Oryctolagus cuniculus: one gene and its partners. The protein of the gene in region 2 interacts with the protein of the main gene of each other region in a pairwise test. Links are inferred from orthologs where the notes say so. Each region holds a gene or a part of one and is shown on either strand. Other genes may lie near its edges.

Region 1 (4,002 bases), on a different chromosome or scaffold from region 2:
AGCCTTCGACAGAGCCTTCATAAAACCATGGCTCTACCCTCCTCTATACCTTCTCCCAGATCAAAGGTCCCTGGCAAGAAGACAATGCTACTAGTTTGCACTTCCGTTAAACTCTGAGAAAACATTTATGGGCTGCAGTCCACCTGATTCAAGGTAGCTTTCCAGTTCTTAGGTGGAACAGTAGCCATGTTTCTGCAACTGCTCTCTCCCACTTCAACCTTAATTTCCTTACAGAGATCTTTGGCAGGCAAAGGGGGGGGGGGGGTGTTATCCAAAAAAGATCCCTCCTTAAGATCGGACTTTGCATTAGCACACACATTTCACCTACTGGTTTCTCCACCCTGACCCAGTCAGTGTCCAGTCTAGGGCATTTAAACGATAGGTTCTGACCTGCACAAGAGCCATTGTTGAGTGACCCTCCTGGCCACTTCCAGGCATTCTTTTCCCTCCACCTGTATCTAAGCTGCACCCGAAATCAAAGCTGAGCCTGAAATACTCTGAGCTAGCGAGGGGGCTGTATTTCTTAGCCCTAATAACCACTTAAACTAGTAAAACTTGATTTCCCCAAGGAATCCAGCCTGAAGCAAACCCTCCCCAAGGGCTCCACTGAGGGGGCAGCTGCTGAAACGTTTCGGATGACTCAGACACCTGTTTCCAAATAGTATCTAAGTGGCTTCGCCCCCTTCCCTGAGCTCCGGCTGCAGGCACTGCAGGCACTCGAAGACCCTGGGCACATCTGGACCTCCCCCGCTCAAAGAAACTCGACTCTCGGGCCCCACCAGCAGCCTGGGCGAGAGGAAGGGAGGAGAGAAAGCAGTCGGGCTGAGGCTCGGGGCCGGCAGGCTGCTGCGGGCCAGGCCTGGGTCGGCACCGCCGGCTCGGAGCTGGGGTTCCTTCTCCGACCTTGAAAGGGGCGACGCGGACCGGAACCCGCAGCAGACGCGGCGGCTGGGAGCCCGCGCAGGCTGAGGGGCAGCGGTGCGGCCTCGCCGGACCGCCTCACCTGCACTTCTGTCGGCCCACAGGATTACTGACAGCACCAGCGCAAGGACTGATCCAGGCGAGACCATGTTTGCGACGAACCGCCGCCAACACGCGGGACTCAGAAAGGGCGCCCAAGCTGGGGGAGGAGCCACGTGGGCAGAGGGCGTGGCCCGGGCGGGGCGCGGCCTGCCGACTCCACCCCTCCCAGGACCGTCCCTCTGGCGGCGGCGAAAAGCCTGCCGCTTCCCGTCCCGGCCGCCGTAGTTTTTTTTTTTTTTTCCCTTTTAAAAAAAAAACGGTTACCCAGCAACGAGAAAAAACAACCGGAATCCTGGGTATCAGCTCGGAGAGAAAGAAGAGGTGAGGCGGTTTCCCCCACTTCCTCTGCAGTGCCGAGGCCTCGCCTTTTCCCTTCGTCTGCCGTATTCTTCCACTATCCCCGATTCGTCCCGGAAACCCTGGAGCAAACAGCTTGGGAGCGAAGGCAGCCTGTTCTGCGAGGGTCTGAAATCCAGGGCCTCAAGACCCTGCCCCAACGGCTGTCCGGCGGGCCTCCCACTCCCCAGCGCTTCCTCGGGGTCTCACCCGGCCTTGTACAGCCCCAGAAAGATTCCGCACTTCTGTTGCGTTTAAAAAAAAAAGAAAAGACAAGAAAAAGAGAAAGCCCTCCGCGGGTGGGCCTCGTTAAATCGTCCAGTTTCCCAGTCTCAGCCCCTCGCCACGGGCCCGCCGTTTTCCGGCCTTGACACACCCGGCAGGTCCCGCGTGCGCCCCTCATACCGGTGGCCTACCCCACTGCTTGGCACCTGCCCCTAGTGTAGCCCTTGAATTGCAACACGGGTCACGACAAAACTAGGAAAACAATCTCAGAGGTTTAGGGACTGGGGTTTGAAAATCATGACCTACCATCTCATTCCCCTCCCCACCCCGGCTTCCTCATTCCAGAGTTCAAAGGTAAAGGTACTCGGAGGCCGTGTGGATCAGGCTTTAGATGAGTCAGCGGAGGGAAAGTTGAAGTGTGAGGCTTCCAGTTAGACAAGTTAGAATTAAATAGAATCAGGACTCGTTCCTAATTTATTTTTTTTATTATTTTTTTTATTTGATGGGTGGAGTTACAGACAGCGAGAGAGACAGAGAGAGAGGTCTTCCAACCACTGGTTCACTCCCCAGTTGGCCGCAACGGCCAGAGCTGTGCTGATCTGGAGCCAGGACCCAGGAGCTTCTTCCCCGTCTCCCATGCGGGTGCAGGGCCCCAAGCACTTGGGCCATCCTCCAGTGCTATCCCAGGCCATAGCAGAGAACTGGATTGGAAGTGGAGCAGCCAGGACTAGAACCGGCACCCATACGGGATGCCAGCACTGCTGGTGGAGGATTAACCTAGTGCACCACAGTTTTTTTTTAAGAGCCTAAACTGGGTCTTCTTAGCAACTGATAATGAGTTCAACATTCATTTAACAATGGTTCTCTCTAAATGGCTGTGGAATAGCATAAATTACCGTTTTAAGAAGAGAAAGAGAGGGCCTGTGCTGTGGCACTGTAGGTTAATCCCCGCCTAAGGTGCTGGCATCCCAATATGGGCGCCAGTTCTAGTCCTGGCTGCTCCTCCTCCAATCCAGCTCTCTGCTATGGCCTGGGAAAGCAGTGGAGGATGACCCAAGTGCTTGGGCCCCGCACCCCTCATGGGGGACCCGGAAGAGGCTCCTGGCTTCAGATCCAGCTCTGGCCTTGGGGGAATGAGCCAGCAGATGGAAGACTTTCTCTCTGTCTCTGACTCTCTTTGTAACTCTGCCTCTTAAAAGAAATAAAATCTTAAAAAAAAAAAAGAAGAAGAAGAAGAACAGAAAAAGAGGGATAGTGCGGTGACTGTTCCTCGCCACGACTGGAGAATTAGGCAGGCTACCCGCAGCTTGCCTTGACCGAGGAGGGGAAGTGCGCCACCCGCCACTCAGCCTTCCCCAAACCCGGGGGACAATCAGGCACGGTGTGGAGCCCAGTCGAAGCAGGGTCTCACTTTATTGTAAAAGGGAGGTGTATTTAATAGCTGAGGTACAGAGCGGATGGCACAGAGTAGATGAGTGGATATGGGCAAGGGGTGGGGTGATGTGATGCAAAAGAGTCTTAGCCACTCCTATTATACCACCTTAATGATCCTTAGGCAAAAGCGCCCTGGGGCTAGGGTGTTTGCCACCAGGGATTTGAAACTTAAAGACAGGATTTCAAATTCGAGGCAGGCTCAGGAAGTTTCCTCTAGGCCTCCCCCACAGGATAGAAAACATGCTTAGTGTCACAGTGAAAATCTGTATTTTTCAAAATAATTTGGCTAATTGGGTTTGTAATATTCTAAATCATAATACAGAACAGAGGGTTCTTTGTAAGAGATGGATGACTTGGGTTGTGTTGGGATAAAAGAACGGAAGTCCAGAAATTCTGGGTTTCAGAAATCATTGTCATGGTTGTGATTACATAGTTAAAATCAGACACATTGAAAGTGCTCTCTAATCTCTAGGTACCACATAGGCAAGTTCTTGCCAAGGAGATGTCGATTCCATTTTCCAACACCCACTATCGAATTCCACAAGGATTTGGGAATCTTCTTGAAGGGCTGACACGTGAGATTCTGAGGGAGCAACCGGACAACATTCCAGCTTTTGCAGCAGCATATTTTGAGAACCTTCTAGAGAAAAGAGAGAGTAAGCTATTATCCAATAGGCATTTTTACACTTGAATTTAGCCAAAAGGCCGAGAAGCAATCAATAGGCATTTTTAAATAAGAGACTCAGCATTTGGTTATGGTAAAATTTGCTTAATGTCATCTCCATTCTACAGAGAGCTATTAGGAGGCAGGTAGCTTCAAATAATTTGAAGCTTGCTCTTTGAACTAATTGTGTGCCCCTTGAATGAGTTCCATGTAATTTGAACGTCATCAGTTTACTGCCAAGACCTTCACTGTATGTCTTGTGGACTCACAGGGTGGAAGGGAACCACAAAAGATCATAGCATCTTGCTCTCTGCTTTGCA
Region 2 (4,093 bases):
TTTTATTTCAGTCAAAAGGCTGAGAGACACAGAGAAATAGAGAGACAGAAAGACAAAGATCTACCTGCTGGTTCATTCCTTAAATGCCTGCAACAGCTAGGGCTGGGCTAAGCCAAAGCCAGGAGCCCAGAAACCAATGTGGGTTTCCCACATGGATAGCAGAGACCCCAGTATGTGAGTCATTTGCTGCCTCTCCGGTACACATTATCAGGAAGCTGGATAGGAAGCAGCGAAGCTAGAACTGGAACCAGGCACTCTGATACAGGATATAGGTGACCCAAGCTGCGACTTAACCACTCCACCTAATGCCAGACCCTCCCACTGACTTTTTGAAAAGCCCGAGGCAATCATCATTAACAATATCCCTCACTATGGGTTCATCTGGTTCTTTCCTTGTGTCATTTCACTTGCTCCTCTTGCCTCTGTGTTGCTGGTAAACTGGAAGTTAGGTTTAAAGCCTTGATAGCTTCGGCTCATTTTGCAGGTAATGCCATAGCCTTTGGATATTAAGCTTGATGACACATGAAAGGGTGCCGACAACTAAATTTGTTCTCTCTTCAGCAACTAGCAAGTGCTTTGTGGGCTCAGATTTTGACAACTTAGAAATATCTTTTTTTTTTTTTTTTTGGACAGGCAGAGTGGACAGTGAGAGAGAGAGACAGAGAGAAAGGTCTTCCTTTGCAGTTGGTTCACCCTCCAATGGCCGCCGCGGCCAGTGCGCTTGGCCGGCGCACTGTGCTGATCCGAAGGCAGGAGCCAGGTTGCTTCTCCTGGTCTCTCATGGGGTGCAGGGACTAAGTACTTGGGCCATCCTCCACTGCCCTCCCGGGCCACAGCAGAGAGCTGGCCTGGAAGAGGGGCAACCGGATTCAACAGATTCAACAGAATCCGTTGCCCCGACCAGGACTAGAATTCCGTGTGCCGGCGCCGCAGGCGGAGGATTAGCCCATTGAGCCGTGGTGTTGGCCTAGAAATATCTTGTTCCCCATTAACCTCTCATATAATTTTCTGGCAAATATTAAAGATTCTCACAAGAATCAGTTATCACTTCTGGTGGCAAAATGGTAATTTTCTAATACTTTCAAGTCTTCTATATTTATTATTGGATGTTCTATAAAAAATTTCTCCCACTATTGTTTCTCCTAAAAAGTGATGGCAAATATAGTTTCCCCTTTTAATTACTAATTCTCAGAGTAAGGAGACAAAGGAGCAGTATCACTGTCACCTGTGAAGGAGACCCCTTCGTTTTTGTTTCCCATTTTTGGAGTATCATGGATTCATGGATTTTTTTTTTTTTTTTTTTTTGACAGGCAGAGTGGACAGTGAGAGAGAGAGACAGAGAGAAAGGTCTTCCTTTGCCGTTGGTTCACCCTCCAATGGCCGCCGCGGCCAGTGCGCTTGGCCGGCACACCGCACTGATCCGATGGCAGGAGCCAGGTGCTTCTAATGGTCTCCCATGGGGTGCAGGGCCCAATACTTGGGCCATCCTCCACCGCACTCCCTGGCCATAGCAGAGAGCTGGCCTGGAAGAGGGGCAACCGGGACAGAATCTGGCGCCCCGACCGGGACTAGAACCCGGTGTGCTGGCGCCGCAAGGCGGAGGATTAGCCTGTTGAGCCGCAGCGCCAGCGGATTCATGGATTTTATGTATTCAATGTGTTATAGTAATTACAGCTGCTGTTCTCTTTTTGATAACAAATTGTTTCTTATTTGCTCAAGGAAAGCTGTTTCAACCCAGTTCCTGTGTTTATTTTTAAATGTTTATTTTTAAATAAATGTTATTGTCTCATGTTATTTATTTGAAAGAGTGACAAGGTTGGGGGGTGGGTAGAAAGAGATCCTATCCACTGGTTCATTCCCCAAATGCTTGCAATAGCTAGGGTTGGGCCAGGAACTCCATCAGTTTGCCCACATGAGTGGCAGGGGCCCAACTACTCAAGCTATCATCTACTGCCTCCCAGGTGTATTAGCAGCAGGCATGCTTGGTTGAAACGCAGAGATGGGACTCGATCTCAGGGACTCCGATATGGGATATGGTCCCCAAGAAGTGACTTAACCCTCTGTGCCACAAGGCCTACCCCTAGTTCCTGTCTTTTTGATGGTCATCATTTGTCTTTGCTTTTGGCACAGTAGATGCCCACAGTTCACCTTTTATTTCTTCTACTCCAGTTGTTTCTCAAAGAAGCTCTGTGAACACCCTCTTCTTCAGATATTAGGCAGTTCAAACGTTCCTCCACATGAGAGCTGTTGACTAAGACTATATTCCTAATACCGGTGGTAGACAATAGGTGGCCTCTGGGCTGCCACCTGTGCTCAGGTTGAGAATGAAAATTTCACAGTTATCTTGGTACACACTGGAGGAAAGGAGAAATCCCTTTCCCCTTAGTTCAGTAGCTGAGGTACATGGATTAAAGCTGGCAAAAGATAGTTAATCAGCAGAAGAAAAACTTTATTACACATGCACATGAGAACTTGACAGAAGTGAAAAACCAACAGGCAGTGAGTCCTGGGCTTTACAAAGTCTGTGTTGTGGCATAGTGGGTTAAGCCACAGCTTGCAAAGCTGGGTTCAAGCACTGGTTGCTCTGCTTCTAATCTGGCTTCCTGCTAATGTGCCTGGGAAGGCAGAGGATGATGGCCTAAGAACATGGGCTCCTGCCATCTATCTCGGAGACCAGGGCCAAGAGCCTGCTCTCTGTGTCTTACCTTCTCTCTGTAACTGCTTTTCAAACAAACAAACATTTTTTTTTTAATCAAAAATAATAGAGGTTTGGGTTTCCAGGGGAAGGTGACTAGGAATTGTGTGGTAAATAAGGTTTGTTTATTAAGGTTTGTTACGCAGTAAGAGTTCTCTTTTCTGATATGGTAGAGAAGCACATCTTTAAAAATGGAAACATGTCACCTTTACAAAAGGAAATTTATGCCTTGCTTTTAGGCAGAAAGGCGGGGGGGGGGGGGTGTTTCTGTGTGATAGGTTCCTCAACTGCCTTCAGCTCAAAATAATCCTAATGCCAAAATGGCATGCTTTGGAAGGCATTCTCTGTTTCTCTTCAATCCTTTTTCTTTTTTTTTTTTTTTAATTTTATTTATTTGTTTGAGAGGTAGTGTTACAGAGAGAGGGAGAGACAGAAGGGTCTTCCATCCACTGACTCACTCCCCACATGGCTGCAATGGCTGGAGCTGGGCCAATCCAAAGCCAGGAGCCTGGAGCTTCTTCTGGGTCTCCCAGATGGGTGCAGAGGCCTGAGCACTTGGGCCATCTTCCATTGCTTTCCCAGGCCATTAATAGAGAGCTGGATTGAAAGGGGGACAGCTGGGACACAAACAGGTGCCCACTTGGGATGCTGGCCCTGCAGGTGGAAGCTTAGCCTACTATTCCATAGCTCCTGTCCCTGTTTCTCTTCAGTATCTATGTGGATTACTTTTCCAGGTTTTAAAAAATCACTTGTTGCATTTACACATGCTGTTTTCCCTCCACAATTAGGTGATCAGCTCCTTAACAAACACATCTATCTTACCCACACCCTCCTAGCATAGAGCTCAGGCACTGAATAAATATATGGAAACCCACTGTACTTCTCTACCAGATCATAAATGCAACAGCTTTGGAAAGGAAATGCTCAACTTGTTAGGGTAATGTTAGAGTACCTAGATTTAAAACTTTTGAAACCTATACAGTACCTTTAAGGCAGACGCTGGATACTACCACCTCCTACTGCCCCAAGTCTCTGGGTTTCTCTCCCTTAGCTTGACTTTCCCTGCACTGCTTTTGCTTGCAAATCAACCCCTTGCTAAAATTAACTGACTCAAAAGAGGGAGTGGTGCAGCCAGCCCTAAAGGGTCTCTGGTCACAAGACTCCTGAGCTCATTTATCTCTTCTATAGATGGAGTGTTTCAATGTTCAGTATTGCCTGGGGTTGTTTTTCCAAGTAGCCCAGGCCCTGAGCAAGAATTATCTATCACCTGACTGACTGGAGGCCACTTGGCCATCATCAAAATTCCCAAAAGAACACAGTATCAGCAGGGCAGATCAACGACACTGGCACAAGAGCTGGACACGCACCCCTCAACCCCAGCTTTGGTCTGTAAGATCC
Region 3 (4,140 bases), on a different chromosome or scaffold from region 2:
GGGCTCTGGCTTGGGCCATCCCGGGCGCCAGCGCGGAGCGCGGGGCAGCTAAAGCTTCGGGTTTGAAGCCAGAGCAGCCTGGTAGCGGCGGTGAAAGGGAAGAAGGCGAGAGGGAGTGCTCATGAGACTGGGAGGCGATGGGACCGTTTGGGTGGTAGGGGGCAGCCGAGCGGTCTTCCAAAGTCACGTCGGATGTACTTTCAGAGCCGAGGTGGCTTTAGGGCGAGACGTGGGCTTCCTCGATCCGAGAGCCAGCAGCTCCAGCCAGCACAGCCCAGTAACGGAGGGGACGTGGCGGAAGGACTTGGTAGGGGCGCAGTCGCCTCAGGCCGGGGCTTTTGCGGCCCTCGCCGAGGGCGACGCGTGAAGTAACAGAAGTCGCGGTGCGTGCGCGCCGCACTGGCCGCCGGTCAGGGCGTCCGGGGTCTTGTCCGGGAGGACGGAGGACCCCAGCGCCTGAAGACGTTAGCTCCGACCTGCACAGCTGCTGCGATCCGCCTGTTCCTGCGATTCCATCCAGCATTCCCTATGGAAAGACTGATTTGGTTTGAGCGGGATTCCGGGGGGGGGAAGCGGTCACAAAAGTGGGCAGGCGGTAGACGTCATTTCTAGCCTTTGTCTCCCAGAGTTGCATCTCGTGGAAGCTGGCGGTGATTCTCACTCAGCTGTGGTAATGATGGCCCGTTCGCGGCTAGCTCTAGAGCCCTGACTCGAGGAGTAATGGCGTTGTCGTGCGGGTTTTGTGCGCAGATGGATGTCCACGGCAGGATACGGGAAATCCTCGCCGAGACCATACGCGAGGAGTTAGCGCCCGACCAGCAACAGTTATCAACGGAAGATTTGATCAAAGCCCTTCGACGGCGAGGAATCATTGATGATGTGATGAAAGAACTGAATTTTGTTACGGTGAGTACTCTGGGGTCTGTAAAGAACATGCCTGGGCGTAGTTACACTGTTGACAGGGTCCTTGGTGGGAGTTTCTCCTTTGAGCGAAACCACTGGAAGGCCCTCCTGTCTACCAGTGTCCTTATTTGCCTTGTAAGTTAGCTCTACCCTTGGGTAGCACACAAATAGTGTGAGTCAGCGAGATTTGGGTTATGTAGACTGTCTTCCTCACTCTGCAGTGACAAGGATTCTCTCTTGTAATTCTCTAGGTCTTTTAATTATGAATATACATATTTCAGTCACATTAGTTCACCATAAAACTGTTCTTTTTTCACTAAGATTGCCCTACAGTTGCTTTAGGTTAAGCTTATTTTTAAAATAAACACTCTTTGGGACTCCGATGAACAAATTATAAATGTCCTCAAGAAAATAATTGACTGCACAAAGACTCTCCAGTCTTTACCTACAAATAGGTCAGTAGTGAGATGCTGGCCTCTCAAGGCACCATTAGGAAGTAGGCCCTCTTTTGAAAATGAGGCAATAATGAAAAACTGTGACCTCAATACCTGGATAATATGTGAAAATTGGACAGACTTCATAATACATCAGGGAATAAGTATTTTAATACAGCATCCTTTTTTGGTTTTTGAGGTTTATGAACCCATTTGTTATAAAAATTGGCCTAATAACAGCTTTTGCTGTGTGAATGTCACTTCTTTATTAAAATCAGTAACTGTTGGAATTGTAAGCCAAGTGTTACATCAGGTATAGGGAAAGTTCAAGCTTGTTTAAGGTTTTCAGAATTGCTTTTTACATTCTGTGGATGGCATTCCTTGAAGATAATTTTTACACCTTAGTATTAGACATGAATAGTGACCAGTTGCATTATCTTTCATTTTCAGTATTTTGATTACACTATGAAAAGGGCTTTTTTGGGGGGTGGGAAGAGGGCCCTTATCCTGTCACCTTTCTGTTTGCTGTTTAGTGTCATGATTGGCATTTTCTTAATTTTTTTTTTTTCAATTTTTTTTTTTGGCCTTTCCAGGACAATGTTGATCAAGAACTCCCTTCCTCTCCAAAACAACCTGTTAGTTTTGATAGACAGTCAACATTAAAAAAAAGTATGTATCTGTTTTTTAATAATAATTCTGTTGTATAATGAATATTGATGTGCTGTAGTGTTTGGTATTTGATAGAAAACATTTCTGGTTTTTTCCCCAAATATTTAAATTTTTGTGGTTGGCCTAAAACTTAATTTTGTTTCACATGAAGTATATCAGAAAATTTAATGTGCAGTATAGTAGAAGCAAAAGCCAGCACACTGGTTTCTCATATTTTAATAATATACTTTATTTAAGATTGTACAGCCTTGTTATTTTAATGATAATTACCTTACAAATACATTTGCTTAATTTGTAGTTGCCTGAGCTGGTTTATGGAGGTGAAGGGAGATTTAATAAGCAGCTAATAAAAAGCAAACTATAGTAGACTTTGGGCCACTCTAGCTGGGAGAAAGTGGACAGAATGTAAACTCCGAAAAGAATGTCAGATTATGTATCTTTTCTCCCCAGGGTGCAAATGATTCTGGTATATAGTAAATTTGTTACTCTTTTTCTTCTTTTTTTAGTCTTTGATGTTATTTCTTTCAAGTTGTTGTATCCTAATGTCTTGATCACATTCCTTAAATTATTTGGCAGTTTCCTCATGTATATTGCTACACTTTACAGCTAATATTGATCCAACACGGAGGTATCTTTACCTTCAGGTTTTGGGTGGAAAAGCTTTCTTGGAACATCTTCAAGAACCTGAGCCTTTACCAGGACAAGTTTGTTCAACTTTTACTTTATGCTTACATTATCGAAACCAACGTTTTCGTTCTAAACCTGTTCCATGTGCCTGTGAACCTGATTTTCATGATGGCTTTTTACTTGAAGTACACAGAGAAAACTTAGGTAAGGAACGTAATAGTCACTTAATGGAGTGAGCTTTTATTAGGTTTTGTTGCAGAGTTGCTGTAACAACTTCTGCTGTTGGGAGATTTACAGATTGAGTCATTTGGCCTAGTCTTTTTATTTTTCCGCCACTCTTATTTTAACGACTTCTGTGCACCTTCTGCTTTATTCTGTGTTTGCTAATTAATTATCCCTAAACGATTATTACTTTACTCTTAATTTTGGTTCTTTACTAATAATCCTGTGAGATGCCTGTCATGTGCATGGTACTATGCTAGCAGGTGCTGAGGACATGAGAGAATGAGACATGATCCTTCTTGTATATGAAGGATGACTAGATTTGTGATGTTGTTATATTTCAAAGGTTTTTGTTTGTTTTATTTTGTTTTAAATTTTACTGGAGAGTTAGAAAGAAAGCCATAATAGTAAAGAGCTCCCATCTGCTAGCGGGTTTACTTCCCAAATACCTGAAATGGAGCGGGGGCGTTGATGTGGCTACAGCCAAGAGCTGGGAACCCATCTAACATGAGTGGCAGGAACCCAACTTTTCCTTTCTTTCTTTTTTTAAATTTATTTATTTACTTGAAAGTCAGAGTTACACAGAGAGAGGAGAGGCAGAGAGAGAAAGAGAGAGAGAGAGGTCTTCCATTTGCTGGTTCACTGCCCAGTTGGCCACAAAGGCTGGAGTTGTTCCAATCTGAAGCCAGGAGCCAGGAGCTTCCTCCAGGTCTCCCACGCGGGCACAGGGGCCCAAAGACTTGGGCCATCTTCTACTGCTTTCCCAGGCCATAGCAGAGAGCTGGATCGGAAGTGGAGCAGCCGGGACTCAAACTGGTGCCCTTAGGGGACGCTGGCACTGCAGCTTGGCCTGGACCAGCCCTGGCTATTGCAGGCATTTGGGGCAGGAAACCAGAGGATGGAAGATTCTCTCCCCTTCTCCCTTTCTTTCTCTTTCTCTCTCTCTTTAAAAGTACTTATTTAAAATATATGTTACTACAAAAAAAAGCCATCAAATATGTTAAGATTAATTCTTAAACTGTCCTTATTCATTTATCTTTAGAAATTATCACTGTATTATCAACACAAAACTGAAAGATTTAAGCTCACAGTTTAGCAATTCACCCCATAAATTACCTTTTTTAAAAAATACCTTGTTAGAAACACAGTGTAAAACAATTACAAGAATCATATATTATAATTCTTTTTTATTTGAAAGGCAGAGAGAGAGAAAGAGAAAGAAAGGGAGAGGGGGAGAGAATCTTCCATCCTCTGGTTTCCTGCCCCAAATGCCTGCAATAGCCAG

Evidence for each region.
Region 1: the proteins of AKAP7 (region 2) and SPA17 interact in a two-hybrid assay, tested with the Homo sapiens proteins (3 studies listed by BioGRID and IntAct). The two-hybrid records come from large-scale screens. The link is inferred for Oryctolagus cuniculus from reciprocal best matches to the Homo sapiens genes AKAP7 and SPA17.
Region 3: the proteins of AKAP7 (region 2) and CEP76 interact in a two-hybrid assay, tested with the Homo sapiens proteins (3 studies listed by BioGRID). The two-hybrid records come from large-scale screens. The link is inferred for Oryctolagus cuniculus from reciprocal best matches to the Homo sapiens genes AKAP7 and CEP76.

What each region holds. Positions count from the first base shown.
Region 1 is NC_091432.1:117,919,450-117,923,451, forward strand, and holds the start of SPA17 (sperm surface protein Sp17), read left to right. Parts: upstream 1-1,202; 5' UTR 1,203-1,331; intron 1,332-3,488; 5' UTR 3,489-3,520; coding exon 3,521-3,674; intron 3,675-4,002. Other genes in the region: SIAE (sialate O-acetylesterase), read right to left, coding at 1,004-1,070. UniProt on the Homo sapiens protein: Sperm surface zona pellucida binding protein. Helps to bind spermatozoa to the zona pellucida with high affinity. Might function in binding zona pellucida and carbohydrates.
Region 2 is NC_091436.1:37,950,845-37,954,937, reverse strand, and holds the start of AKAP7 (A-kinase anchoring protein 7), read left to right. Parts: upstream 1-1,293; 5' UTR 1,294-4,093. UniProt on the Homo sapiens protein: Probably targets cAMP-dependent protein kinase (PKA) to the cellular membrane or cytoskeletal structures.
Region 3 is NC_091441.1:69,558,229-69,562,368, reverse strand, and holds the start of CEP76 (centrosomal protein of 76 kDa), read left to right. Parts: upstream 1-1,340; 5' UTR 1,341-1,428; coding exon 1,429-1,650; intron 1,651-1,930; coding exon 1,931-2,006; intron 2,007-2,582; coding exon 2,583-2,837; intron 2,838-4,140. UniProt on the Homo sapiens protein: Centrosomal protein involved in regulation of centriole duplication. Required to limit centriole duplication to once per cell cycle by preventing centriole reduplication.